Lytechinus pictus: one gene and its partner. The protein of the gene in region 1 binds, or shares a complex with, the protein of each later gene. Links are inferred from orthologs where the notes say so. Each region holds a gene or a part of one and is shown on either strand. Other genes may lie near its edges. The genes, in order: dolichol-phosphate mannosyltransferase subunit 1-like and dolichol-phosphate mannosyltransferase subunit 3-like.

Evidence for each region.
Region 2: dolichol-phosphate mannosyltransferase subunit 1-like (region 1) and dolichol-phosphate mannosyltransferase subunit 3-like share a complex: the UniProt entries of both Homo sapiens proteins name them as parts of the dolichol-phosphate mannose (DPM) synthase complex. The link is inferred for Lytechinus pictus from reciprocal best matches to the Homo sapiens genes DPM1 and DPM3.

What each region holds. Positions count from the first base shown.
Region 1 is NC_087246.1:37,878,991-37,886,544, forward strand, and holds the start of dolichol-phosphate mannosyltransferase subunit 1-like, read right to left. Parts: upstream 3,015-7,554; coding exon 2,974-3,014; intron 1-2,973. UniProt on the Homo sapiens protein: Transfers mannose from GDP-mannose to dolichol monophosphate to form dolichol phosphate mannose (Dol-P-Man) which is the mannosyl donor in pathways leading to N-glycosylation, glycosyl phosphatidylinositol membrane anchoring, and O-mannosylation of proteins; catalytic subunit of the dolichol-phosphate mannose (DPM) synthase complex.
Region 2 is NC_087247.1:69,059,909-69,067,294, forward strand, and holds the start of dolichol-phosphate mannosyltransferase subunit 3-like, read left to right. Parts: upstream 1-4,324; 5' UTR 4,325-4,417; intron 4,418-7,386. UniProt on the Homo sapiens protein: Stabilizer subunit of the dolichol-phosphate mannose (DPM) synthase complex; tethers catalytic subunit DPM1 to the endoplasmic reticulum.

The DNA of each region.
Region 1 (7,554 bases):
ATCTCAAAGCCTTATTTTTACCTGAAATTGGGTGACATATTGTATGATTGCAGTTTGCAAACTGTGAAAAACCCTCAGAATTTTACAAATCTTAAATCAACATTACCACAAACTTCCTCATTACAAAAAAATGATTCAATATTAGTTTGTGGGAATATATACATGTTATGTGTCAGTTAAAGTCACATGTGGCCAGTCCAGTAATTTCAAGTTATATTTAAAAAAATATTGCTACATTTATTTTTGCTGTCCCCATGAAAATTAGCAATGGGTCTGCTCATATATTTACCGACCAGGGCTCCGTAACACAAGGGTTTGCGATGAATTGCAAATATGAAAAAGCCGCACTGATTGGCTCCCGGTCAGTATTTTAAACAGAGTGCGCATGTAACGATGATCTTGATTGGTCATTGGTATTTAGCGATTTGCAAACCTTTGTGTTACGGAGCACAGATGTGCCGGGAGCAGTGAAAAGTAGACATTACAATAGCATATTCCCTTTTGTAACTGGTCAGTACGTTTGTAAATACGCAGGAATCTTGTCTTAACATCGGACAGTAAAAAATCCAATGAAGCAGATGCCTGACATATTTTATCCTCGTGGCATCAAACTGGCTTTAAAGGGATGATGGTTCTTCATCTCTTAAAAACTTCTTGGAAAAATAAAGTCAACTACAAATTTATAGCACGAAAGGTACCACACATTCAAAATGAAAATATAGACTCTTCAGTGTGTATCAAAAAAAAAGTTTACACTTAGAAAAACCCTGTAAACTTATATATAAGTAATAAATATCCTGAAGATTTTCCACATTTTAACATTGGTACAGATCCATTTAATAAGCGAATGAAATAACCGTTGAAAAGTATTTCCGCTTGAGAGAGCACCACTTACTTTTGAAAAGTTAGTGAAAAACGATTTGTGTGGAACTTTGAAATAGTTATGGTCGCATTTCATAAGTCGGGTATGCAAAAAGGGTGGCGTATGAACAATTTTCCACACGGTGCCATGGATAAATTGTTGCTACATCACAGCCCCATGGCCAAATTTGTTGTGTAAGGTCTCATTTTGAAGCTAGAACTATAGGCTTAATATATTACTATGAATTAGATCAATACAATATCAGGAACAAAAACTATAGCACATTAAGTTTGAAGTAATAGGGGTGGCGGAGCCGGTGGATGTGGTGAATGATAGAATATTAATTAAACCTAATTAACAACTTACTATAATATGTAATATGACTGTTATCCTCATATTTCTGGGCATTTTAAAGCAGGGAACTAAATGTCAAAAAAAAATTGACAATTTTGAAAATATGCAGCAATGAAATACATAAGTATGTCAGCTCTGATCTGCAACCTAATCAATTAGTAAACCAGAGAAATTTGATTAATTAACTAATTTGTAATCTTAATTTTTAGTACAAATGTTGTGTATCATTGCAACAAACATTTCTACCCATGATGTCATTTTGCCAAGCATATAAATACAGTGACAGGTATTTTGGGGGCAAAAATGTGAAATTAAATACTGTTAATTAATTAGTATAATAAATATGCATACAATAATAGATAATTATTTGATTTTGGTACAGATTTAATTATTGATGTTTTTCAAGATTATAACTGCAAAATACTAGGGTGATCCAATGTTGCATTAACTTTTGACACTATTTTCTGTGCAGCAGGTCCAATTTGAGAAATACACATTTCAAAATTCACATTTACATTGACGTCTATGTAATAATTAGCTGTTAATTAGTCATTTTAAGGAAAAATAAAGGTATTCGAGACTTAAAACCTTTTCATTATTTAGAGAATAGTAATAGCTACAACATATCAAAAAATAAAATTTTGACCATTTTTACCCTGTTCGCGAAATTGGACCACCTTATGACATGCGACCATATATATGAATAAAAGTAGAACTTAATCATGAAGAACACATGGAATTTAGCTAGTAAAATTGATTTGAAAATATCTTTTACCTTTTTTCACTTGTTTCCTTGCCCAAAACACTTTGAAGAGTGCCATTGCACCCCATCCCACTCCCCCACACACCGAGGCCATCGTGACGATCTTTGCTTTACACTGAGCTGTGATTTATATGAAATGGCTTAGGCGTGATTCTCATTTTGTTAATCATTGTCAAACTTGGGAAAACTGTGGAGAAACAAGTATTAATTGAAAAATGAAATGTAAACCCACTTTAAATGATAAAAACTTGGTGACAAATGCTGGAGATGTCTGATATAAACTTTTGTTTAGATTCAGTTATGTCCTCAGATCCAGCTGGCACAAAAAGTGTAAAGGCTGTACTTACTAAGTGTTAAAATTTTAATTTGGATGGCAAAATTGAAATGCTTGAATGTATCTGTTTTATTTCAATTGAGTAAAGTGCAAGGGAAATGTATGAGAAATGTTTCGCAGGGTAAGTTTGATTTCGCCTGTTACCCATGACACAGCGTGAAAACAAGAATTTCTGCGAGCTTTATAAAAATGGAAAGTGCTCACTCAAGTGTTACACTCTGTCAAAACTTTTACTTTCATTGGATAGATGAGACCCAAACCCAAGAATATATGTGAAAAAAATACACACATGCCATATATTTTTTAATTCCCAGGGCTTTTGCAAAGAGTATAAACTTTTTTTTTGATACGTACTGTATAAAAACACACTAACCAAACTAATTCGCTTTGAAAAGATAAATTATTTTATTGTTTCCCCAAAGTTTAAAACTAAAATGCATAACATGTGGAAAGTGAACAAGCAATGAACCTGGTAAATAATAGATCAGATGTAACTTATTGAGGTACCAATGTCACGTGCTGGTCTAGACCGGAAATCCAAGACCAGATGGCTCAAGACCAAAACCAAGATGAAACGTAACTGGTCTTGAGACCAAGACCAATCTTGAGAGTCGAGATCTTCAACAAGGATTTCTTTTTTGAAGAAACATATTTTCTCACATTTCAAGCTTGGCTTTCATGAGGAGCACGGTACAGACCATGCGTTAATCTCTTTTGTTTAAAATGTTCTCCATCATTCGATTGATCGTCCCACACTGTAGGTATTGTCCTGGACTTCTCCAATGCTTTAGTATGACCCTCTCAACCATGACATTTTACTTCTCAGACTGTTTCACCATGGTGTGCGTGAGAAGGCCTTGAAGTAGATAAGAAGTTATCTGTATTATCTCTTAAACAGGAAGCCAAGGGCTAGTCCAATTTCACTGGCTGCCAGTCTAGCTCATCTGTTGATCTCGGCAGACTTCAGTGGCCCTTCAAACGCTTTCTCTGAGGTACAAAACTCCTCCTCTTTGCTGCAGATGGAGCATCGTAGGACCAGTGTGCAAAGCAGCTCCTCCCTCTTTGACAAATCTTCCAAAGGAATCAGGTGCCCTGTAAAGTCAGGAAATATCATAATAATAATAATAGGCATTTATATAGCGCCATCTATCTAGAAATAATCTATTCCGAGGCGCATTGTTTATCATTATTATTACCCCGGCTTTAGCTTGAGCTGCCTCTCAGCGCTCAGTGCATTCAAGGAATTAATCCTGCCGGGTACCCATTCACTTCACCTTGGTTGAGTGCAGCACAATGCGGATAAATTTCTTGCTGAAGGAAATTACGCTATGGCTGGGATTCGAACCCACGACCCTCTGTTTCAAAGTCAGAAGACTAATCCACTGGGCCACAACGCTCCACATCAAGTATTATTGAATAGCCAATCAATTAAAGGTCAAGTCCACCCCAGAAAAGTGTTGATTTGAATCAATAGAGAAAAATCTAACAAGCACAAAAATGAAAATTTCATCCAAATCAGATGTAAAATAAGAAAGTTACATGACATTTTGAAGTTTCACTAATTTTTCACAAACTAGTTATATGCACCAAATGAGATAGTTGATGATGTCCCTCACTCGCTATTTCTTTGTTTTTATTGTTTGAAATTGCAATATTTACAAATTTGACAATAAGGACAAACTTGACTGAACCATAGAATATTAAAATGACGTTAATTCCACATATTTAGGGAGGAAACTACATTCACATGACAGTGAGGAGAAAATTAAATATTTTATATAATAAAATACAAAAGAAATAGTGAGTGATGTCATCAGTTCCCTCATAAAAAGTCATATATTTGCATACCGACTGGGATGTCATGTGCGTATTAACTATTTTGTGAACATAAGCGAAACTTAAAACATAATATAACTGTCTTATTTTACATTCGATTTAGATAAAATTTTCAGTGTTGTGCTTGTTGGATTTTTCTCTTTTTATTATTCAAATCAACATTTTGTTAGGGTGGACTTGTACTTTATCTACAAAATATAGAATCCATTTCAGAGCAATATTATCTTGATTATCAAGCAAGAGATTGATTATTGCAAATTTGCAATCCATTTTTACGATGGGGGAATTGTAACTAAGATGGTCTTTTATTCATTATATTTTCATTTTTTTGCACACATAGACAGAGCCAGGCAGATCTCGATCTAACTAAGATTTAGATATTCATGAAGATATTTAGGTTTAAGGGCATAAGCCATAATAAGTGCATTTTAAAATGGGTATTGATCTACATGACCTACATTTATAAAGAGTAAAGTATCAAAAATAAGCAATAAGAAGTACAAACCTCCTTGGCACACATGAGTCCTTTGTAAAGCAGATGCAAGCCGTTTCCCACTGACCAGGTAAAAACCATCAAGATCCCTACGTAAATCTTGGCATGTGGGACCACTTTGTTGTAGATCGGGGCTCTCCATGGTTTTGTTGAGGGATAGCTTTCTTTCTAATACTGGTGTTGCTTCTTGTACCTCCTCTTCTCCATTTTTCAGCTTCTTCATGACATGGTATGGTGTTCCTCTAAAGAAATTCCTCTTTTTTTATGTATTTTGGGGTTTTGCGAGGCATTTTGAGTCAAGTGTTTACACAGCCAGAGGGCACATGAGTTTATTATGTCCCTCACTCCCTCTAGATGGCAGTATATTAGCATGCATGTATGTCTAAAACTAGTCTAGGAATTCAGACCTTGTTCTCTTCATTTTGATAGGTTTTGGTTTACAATTTTATGTTTAATGGATTTTCAATGAAAACTAGAATGTTAATTCGTCATGAGGACGAATTAAGTGATCTGTCCCTGATTCTCATAATCACAAATACAATCAACACGTTTATTCAGATCAATATGATCATCATGATGAAAACTGAACTTTTATAATGGAACTTAGAACTTGTTGAATACTCTTGAAAAGGGAGAAATGATAAGGTTGTGTGAAAAGGTATAGGTAATACACATAAATAAAAAAATAAAAATTTTAATCTCTTTTATTGTGCAATATTTAGGTGGTCAGTCTATGACAGATCACCTCTTGATTTCGTTAGAATTTTCTTTATTTTTATATATTTATTTTTTTATAGCCAATTCTTGTTGCCAAGTTTTCTCTAAATTGGCTCTATCAATTTTACTGAATTTCATGTCATTTATAAAGTCTATCTTAGAGATGCCATAATAAGCTTTTCAAGGTCATCTGGTCATGATGACGTCATCTAGGCGCCATTTTGTAAAATTCTTTATTTGATCATCCCAATCCCTCGCCAAAAGCATCGCAAATTAATGCAAGCTTGAACTGTTCATTAAAACTGTTTTTTTATGGAAAGGCCATCTAAGTGATCAATATCAAATAAAAAATAAATAAAAACTCACCGATTTCTCTACGTTAAGCTCATCCATTTGTCTCGATTACGTCTATGGTGTTCAACAGTGACAAATCGAAAAAAGAAAAAAGATCTCACGAAACCAAGAGGCTCATCAACCCGTTTGGACAAAATATTGCTCATTCCATTCCATTCCTTGTTTTTATTTGGCAATAATGCTCATAATGCATTCTGGATAGCCTCAATCAAGACAAATTCGCAATTTTGTTTCATATCGATAAAACCTTCACCCTTCACCCATATTAATCCAGGGCGGTAAAAAACGGGGGTTTGCAAAAGTGATATCATGATGAAAATGAACATTCAACAACAATATGAACAATAAATGAAAAACAAAAATAATAATAGAAATAACAATGATAGTATGAAACAAAAAGAGACTGATTGAGAGAAGAAGCAAAACCAATAAAAAAAGCATATTTCCTTTCACCATATATGACAAGATACATTTCATTATAGAATAAACTACGCTGATGGTGCTACAACAATTATTCTTGTGTATAAAAATAGAGAAAAAACTATTGAGTGTCAGTGGAGAAAGAGACTACTATCGTTGTGGTAAGAAGCATTTTATCCAGCTCTGTAGAGGTCTGTGGTGTGGTTGTGGTGCCGTGAGGCTAATTACAACAGAAGGCAAAAGCTATTTGTTCGACCCAACCCATTCAATTTTTTTTCAATTTGATAAATTGCTGATTGACACAAGTGTATGAATATGATTGAAAATCTAACAATGATTCTAGAAATTATGGTAACTACTTAACTGCCTTTGCCCAAATTGGGAAGATGTATCAATGACTTGGAACTATTTTTTGACTGGCGGAAGAATTAGGGCTATTTTACTGTTTCAGTTGATGAATTTGATCCCATCATACATGTAGTTATCTTCATAAATGGCAAATTTCAAATTTCACTTTTCATCTATACTTGTAAACCAAAAACAAAAATTGTATAACACATCTACAACTACTAACAGGTATAAAAACCAGGAATTTACTTTTAGCCCAGCAGTGCTAAAATAAAACCCATGAAACTAAACAAGTGGAACGCCTCTGGCAGTCTCGCCTGCATTACGCAATTTAATATAGCAGCAGTGCTAACTTTGAAAACTACTATAAAATAATTATTCACAAAAACATCATTCATATAATGACATAATACCACGTTCATTGACCATAAATGACATTTGAACAGAGACTTAAGACTGTCAACTACTCCCATGTCCACATTTCATTCACTCTATCCATAAACTTTCAAAGTTATGATGGCACTTCAACAATTACCCCAACATGGCCTAAGTTTATTGACCTTAACTGACCTTTGACTTGGTTTTGTGACCTGAAACTCACAGGGGATGTTCAGTGATGCTTGATTACTCTTATATCCCAAGTTTTATGAACTAGATCCATAAACTTTCAGAGTTAGGATGGTGATTCAACAAATACCCCAACACGGCCAAAGTTCATTGACCTTTAATGACCTTTGACCATGGTCATGTGACCTGAAACTCGTACAGGATGTTCAGTGATACTTGATTACTCTTATGTCCAAGTTTTATGAACTAGATCCATAAACTTTCAGAGTTAGGATGGTAATTTAACAAATACCCCCAACACGGCCAAAGTTCATTGACCTTAAATGACCATTGACCATGGTCATGTGACCTGAAACTCGCACAGGATATTCAGTGGTACTTAATTAACCTAATGTCCAAGTTTCATGAACTAGATCCATACATTTTCTAAGTTATGATGGTAATTCAACAAATACCCCCAACTTGGCCAAAGTTCATTGACCCTAAATGACCTTTGACCTTGGTCA
Region 2 (7,386 bases), on another chromosome or scaffold:
AAAAAAAAAGGGACAAGAATAAAAAATAATAACACGACCGGGCTGCCGATGATTGAAATTAAAGAGCGGGAAGAAAGATGGACTGCATACAACATTATGCTATAAGCTTGCTACAAATTTATGCAAATAAGTTACCGGGGCTTTGCCCCAGACCCCGCGCAGTATAGGCTCTTCATTATAACCTTCAAATGATTCTATAACGCCCCCGTTCAATCACGTTCAATCACTGGCATACAGGCGCGGGGAGGGGGGGGGGGGGGTCTTGGTTCCACACCCAAAAGGAAATAAAAGAAATTATAGGAGACAATTAACGTATAATGAAATGAATGGAACCAATGAAATGTGTTATTTGCTGAATATGATAGAAAAATATATCACATAATTAGAATTTAATTTCAAAAGGCAATTTTTTTTTCCAGCTCGCTTTGCACGCTGGCGACTTTTTACAAAATTTTCCCACATTGCTATGTTTTGCCCCCTCAAAATATTTGGTTCATTACGCAACTGAGTTGAATAAAAGTGTTTTGTAAAAGCGCTATTCTGTTTATGCCCGCGATTTGATTAAAATAGTGGCAATCTGCTAGGTTTAAATGGCTTTGATATAATATCAAGAAGTTTCGGGGGCTCCATCCCGGACCCCAACCGCACAGCACTGCGTATCGAAGGGTTGGGCCATGGCCCCAAAAAGTTCTACAAACAAGAGCAAAAAAAAAGAGGAAAGAAAAGCGAAGGAAAAGTGTAGGATATGATTTTATTTACTGAATATAATGTAAAAAATAGCTCAAAGTTAGATTTCCATGAAAAGGTGATTTTTTTTTCTCGATCGCTTCGCTCGCTCGGGACTTATGTAAAGCAGCTTTTTAGCACATGTGCTATACTGCGCCCCTCGTTTTTTTTTTACTCTTCACGCTACTGCCGCAACGAATCTTGTTCACAGTGGCGTACAGACCACAAAAAAAGGGAATCTAAAGAGCCCGGGGGGGGGGGGGGGCCACTTCCATTCACGAGTGGATAGTGCGTCTCGAAAAGCACCCTAAACACGTAATTTCCATATTCTGAAAATGCACCCCTTAACAAGTATTAGCGTCTAAAACCCTACCCTTAACAAGTATTGGAAATAAAACGATACTCTTGGCAAATATTTCCTGAAATGAACCCCTAAACAAGTACAGGAATGTTTTATTGTTACGGGTCCTTCGGTCTTCGGCTTTACCTTATTTGGTTTAGTACGACCCCACCTTCTACACCTCGCGCAAATCGGACTCTAAACACGAAGTGTTGGGGCAAAAAGGACATCCTTTATAAAACATTTTAATTTTGTTTTATCATCCCCGCAAATTTGACCCTAAACACGTAATTTTCTTAGCGAAATAGATACCCTTTTTTCATTATTTTTGTGTTTTTGACACCCTTATCACGTTACGTACATAACGTGCCCTATCGTGAAAAAGACATCCTTTTTACGTGTTTTTTTGGTCGCGCATGGTATCCACTCGTCAATGTAAGTGGCCCCCCCGGGCTAAAGAGAGAACAGTGAAATATATCATTATCTGGATATGTCAAAATCTATCACAAAATTGGAGGTCAAAATTTTTGCTCGCTCGCTTCCCTCGCTTGCAACTTTTTTTAAAGATAAATTCTGCCAATACGCAATATCTGGCCTTCTCAAAAATAGTCGCCTCACTACACCATTACACCTGTTCATAATTAGTAGGTACGGGAAATTTTTGGCTCTTGCCCCCCCTGGCCACCGACCCCTGTTACGCCGCTGTTTAAGCTCCATATATTGAGCAAGCTATGTAAATCACCTGAAGGCAATGCGAACGCGAGCAAAAAAATTATATAGTGACATGAAAGATTTTTAAAAGATTTTTAAAATTATTTTCTTCCCCTCATCTTATTTTATTCACTCGTCTCCCTCCTTGTATAATATGTTTCCCATCCTTTTTTTTCTCCTCTTTCCCCTAAGTTCTTTATAAGTTCTTTTTTTCTTTCCCCTTTTTTCATTTTTTTTGCTCCGCCAATAGGGGAGTGGGGCCCCTGGATCCACCTATGCCTGAATGTGTGTTTCTCATTTCACTGCATATTGCTCTGTATATCACTGTTATTAATGTCATTTTTTTTTAGATAACTCTCAGCTATACAGTGCGTATAAAAAAAAACGGGACAGATTTTAAAAGTCTATACAATTTTTGTTTTATATGATCTCTACATTTTGGTGTCAATTGGTGCTCTGAAGTCTTATCCTTCAAATGCCATTAAAATATTTTAGTTTTGTTCATGCTTGAGCGAGCACGGAATGTTTTTGTCTGGGGTTAAAAATGAGGCTTGCGCCAAAATGGCATGAAATGAAAAATATGATGGTCGGACTTTTTGCTAATCAACAGACTTCCTCTTAACCTTTTCATTATCTTTGCCATAATCTTCGAATTATGAGGTCAAAATTCATTTCCAAATCTACTTATTTGCTTGAATAGTTCTGTCGTTCCTTTTTAATATGTTCTCTTTTAGCTTTGAATATTCCTTCTTTAGGCAAGAACATTTTTTTTAAACCGAAGTATGGGAGGGCGTGGTTTTTTTTTCAAAATCATTCAATGTGTGCTACAAAGGTTACGGTGCCTTTGAACAGTGGCATACTGATGGGTGGGGGCTTGGGGCGCCCCCAAATAAAAAAATCATTACCAAGAAAACAAAAGTGGATAGGAAAATAACAGAAAACATAGAAAGTGAAATATGATATCGTTTTCTGAATATCATGTCAAAATCACAAAATTTGATATTTTAATTAAAAAATTGAAATTTTTGCTTGCTCGCTTCACAACGTTTTAATACATTTTTCTCGATCTGCCATAATTGCTCCTTCAAAATTGACTCAATACATCATATTGCCATTGAAAGACGTAAATCCTTTCCTGTTTGTCCTGCATTTGTCAAGCACATAATTAAACTTGAATTGATGAAGGATTCAATAACCCCTTGAAAATAGGATTCTTTTATAGGTATATAACAGAACATAATTTGTTTCACATAATAAAAGGATTTGAATAATTACAAATTCTCCCAATTAATAATGCAAATCTTAGCTGGGTTGACAAAAAGTCTTCTTTTCTTACTTAAAGGGGAATCCAGCCTTGGCCATAAAATGTTGTGTTAATTGGGAAGGAGAAAAATAATTTAAACAGAATGGTGAAAGCTTGAAAGAAATCGGACAAGCAATAAGAAAGTGATAGCTGCTTTAAGATTGAGATCACTAATAGTATGTAGATTTCAAATTGGCAATTGAGTAAGTAAATTATGACAAGGGGGGCAAGGGCAACTTTCCCATATAGGCCATGTACTTTATTATCAGGGATTTGTGGTTTTCTCCTAAGTACCCGTTCCCATGGGGCAGTAATCTAAATATAATCCAGGTAGTATATTGTTTTATGTCCTCATGAAAGAAAAATATAACTTGAAATAAAACCTTTGGAAAAAATGACATTTTAGCCATATATTGGAGTACATGGAAGAGTAGTCCTTGCCTTACATCATTGTGACATCCCATATGCGGCCAATTTGAAGTCTCCATGGGTATAGTGATTATATACCAATATTTACAACTTTTAAAAATTCATAACTTTCTTGTTCTTTGTCCAATATCGTTTAAATAGCTATCAACTTGTCTGATTTTTCTTTTTCTTATAAAAACAAGTTTTATTTGGGTTGGATTCCCCTTTTAGGAAAATTCAAAAGTAAAAGAAGTTTAAATGAAAAACAAAATAATTCAGGTAAATAAATAAATTTGTAAATGAAATTTGACAGCATAATTCGAAAATTATGGCAAAGATAATGAAAAGATTATAGAGGAAGTCTGCTGATTAGCCAAAAGTTTAATCATCAAATTTCTAATTTCTGCCATTTGGGCGCATGCCCAACCCCCGACAAAAACGTCCCGTGTTCGCTCAAGCATGAACAATTTTTTTTTTTTTAATGGCATTTCAAAGATAAGATCTCATAGCATCTATTAACATCAAAATATAGATAACATAATTTGAAACAATTTTTTTATAGACTTAATTCAAAACTGTCCTGTTTTTTTTATACGCACTGTATAGGTAGAGCTATAAATAATGATTGACATCAAATTAGTGTTTTTTATCAGTGATAATGAACTTTTTCAAATTGTACTCTATCAACGGATAAACTTCAAATTCTTAAAACCTCTTTCCTCGCAAGAAAGTAATAAAATTATTGATTTTTTAGGGGGAGGGGAGCGTTTATCTGAGAAAAGCAGTTTATCGACTATTAATACAAGCAGGATGCGGCATTTCTCATCCACACCCCTATATTTGACGTGGATCTAACTCTTTGCGGGAACACGTACGTAACGTTAGGACTTGACTAGTTGGACCGAGGAAACCAATCTACATGATCTACGGTACTTGTTTCGAATTATTTTTTAGAACTTACATGGGTATACTAGATGATAGTCATATTTTGATTAATTTTACGGTACCGATTATAAAAAAGAGGACTTGAATCGCTTGATGATCTCTTATTTATTACTTTGACCCACGCGTTAGGAATGGTGTTAGTTCTAAATCTAAGTTACCCAATTTTGAAGAATACCCATGGCCATGACCATGTCTGCCTAACTTAGACAGTATGATGGTGGGCCCCAAGTCTGCGCACCTAACAATTTGAGTTAAGATTTAACATGAATTTCTTCTTATTTCACAAAATCTTTTGGTTAATAGTGTTCCTTATATTATTAAGTGTACCAAATTTCTCATTAAAAAATGAAAGAAAATATAAGATTTTCTTGAAAAACCTTTGGGCAGTCATTTTCAATTTCAGATTGAAAAAAAAATGGTACCCCATGTCTGCGCACTCATTCACTTTGCACACTATTCGGGGATTTTGATGACAAAGGCTGCATTTTGAGGCCGTCACATGAAATGCCCTGAATTCATTATTTTTCCACCATTTTGAGTAAGCTTGTAACCGATTTTGCAATCGGCAACCGATTCCATTCGATTTCACCACAATCGGCAATCACTTGCCGATCTTCGATCATGCCCCTTGAAGGAAAAAATCGAAAATAAAAAATCGGCGTAGATCTGGTTACAGTGCGTGATCGCTCAGAACATATTTCAAGATTGTTTTTGAGGTGCTAGCTATTTAGAGGTCGCATTATTCAGGGAGAAAGTCGCGGTATTATCTATGGCGATGTTTAAGGGGATAGATATCTTCTCTTCCAACTCATGGTGATAGCGGATGCCGCCGTGAACTTTGAAAGGTCGTATTACCGACGGAGCTCACTGCGTTACTCTCTTACATCGTTTATGATGATATACATTTTATTTTCAACCTCGTGGTGATAGCGGATGCCGCCGTGAACTTTGAAAGGTCGTATTACCGACGGAGCTCACTGCGCTACTCTCTTACCCCCTTTATAATGATATAAATCTTCTCTTCAACCTCGTGGTGATAGCGGACCCCGCCGTGAACTTTTAAAGATCGTGCTACTGACGGAGCTTATTGCGTTACTCTCTTACATCGTTTATGATGATATACATTTTATTTTCAACCTCGTGGTGATAGCGGATGCCGCCGTGAACTTTGAAAGGTCGTACTATTGACGGAGCTCATTGCGTTACTCTCTTACATCGTTTATGATGATTTACATTTTATTTTCAACCTCGTGGTGATAGCGGACCCCGCCGTGAACTTTTAAAGGTCGTATTACCGACGGAGCTCACTGCGCTACTCTCTTACATCGTTTATAATGATATAAATCTTCTCTTCAACCTCGTGGTGATAGCGGACCCCGCCAGAAACTTTTAAAGACTGTACTATTGACGGAGCTTATTGCGTTACTCTCTTACATCGTTTATGATGATATACATTTTATTTTCAACCTCGTGGTGATAGCGGATGCCGCCGTGAACTTTGAAAGGTCGTACTATTGACGGAGCTTATTGCGTTACTCTCTTACATCGTTTATGATGATATACATTTTATTTTCAACCTCGTGGTGATAGCGGATGCCGCCGTGAACTTTGAAAGGTCGTACTATTGACGGAGCTCATTGCGTTACTCTCTTACATCGTTTATGATGATTTACATTTTATTTTCAACCTCGTGGTGATAGCGGACCCCGCCGTGAACTTTTAAAGGTCGTATTACCGACGGAGCTCACTGCGCTACTCTCTTACATCGTTTATAATGATATAAATCTTCTCTTCAACCTCGTGGTGATAGCGGACCCCGCCAGAAACTTTTAAAGACTGTACTATTGACGGAGCTTATTGCGTTACTCTCTTACATCGTTTATGATGATATACATTTTATTTTCAACCTCGTGGTGATAGCGGACCCCGCCGTGAACTTTTAAAGATCGTGCTACTGACGGAGCTTATTGCGTTACTCTCTTACATCGTTTATGATGATATACATTTTATTTTCAACCTCGTGGTGATAGCGGACCCCGCCGTGAACTTTTAAAGATCGTGCTACTGACGGAGCTTATTGCGTTACTCTCTTACATCGTTTATGATGATATTCATTTTATTTTCAACCTCGTGGTGATAGCGGAAGCCGCCGTGAACTTTGAAAGGTCGTATTACCGACGGAGCTCATTGCGTTACTCTCTTACCCCCTTTATAATGATATAAATCTTCTCTTCAACCTCGTGGTGATAGCGGATGCCGCCGTGAACTTTGAAAGGTCGTATTACCGACGGAGCTCACTGCGTTACTCTCTTACATCGTTTATGATGATATACATTTTATTTTCAACCTCGTGGTGATAGCGGATGCCGCCGTGAACTTTGAAAGGTCGTATTACCGACGGAGCTCACTGCGCTACTCTCTTACCCCCTTTATAATGATATAAATCTTCTCTTCAACCTCGTGGTGATAGCGGATGCCGCCGTGAACTTTGAAAGGTCGAACTATTGACGGAGCTCATTGCGTTACTCTCTTACATCGTTTATGATGATTTACATTTTATTTTCAACCTCGTGGTGATAGCGGACCCCGCCGTGAACTTTTAAAGATCGTGCTACTGACGGAGCTTATTGCGTTACTCTCTTACATCGTTTATGATGATATACATTTTATTTTCAATCTCGTGGTGATAGCGGATGCCGCCGTGAACTTTGAAAGGTCGTATTACCGACGGAGCTCACTGCGTTACTCTCTTACATCGTTTATGATGATATACATTTTATTTTCAACCTCGTGGTGATAGCGGATGCCGCCGTGAACTTTGAAAGGTCGTATTACCGACGGAGCTCGCTGCGTTTCTCTCTAACATCGTTTATGATGATATACATTTTATTTTCAACCTCGTGGTGATAGCGGATGCCGCCGTGAACTTTTAAAGATCGTGCTACTGACGGAG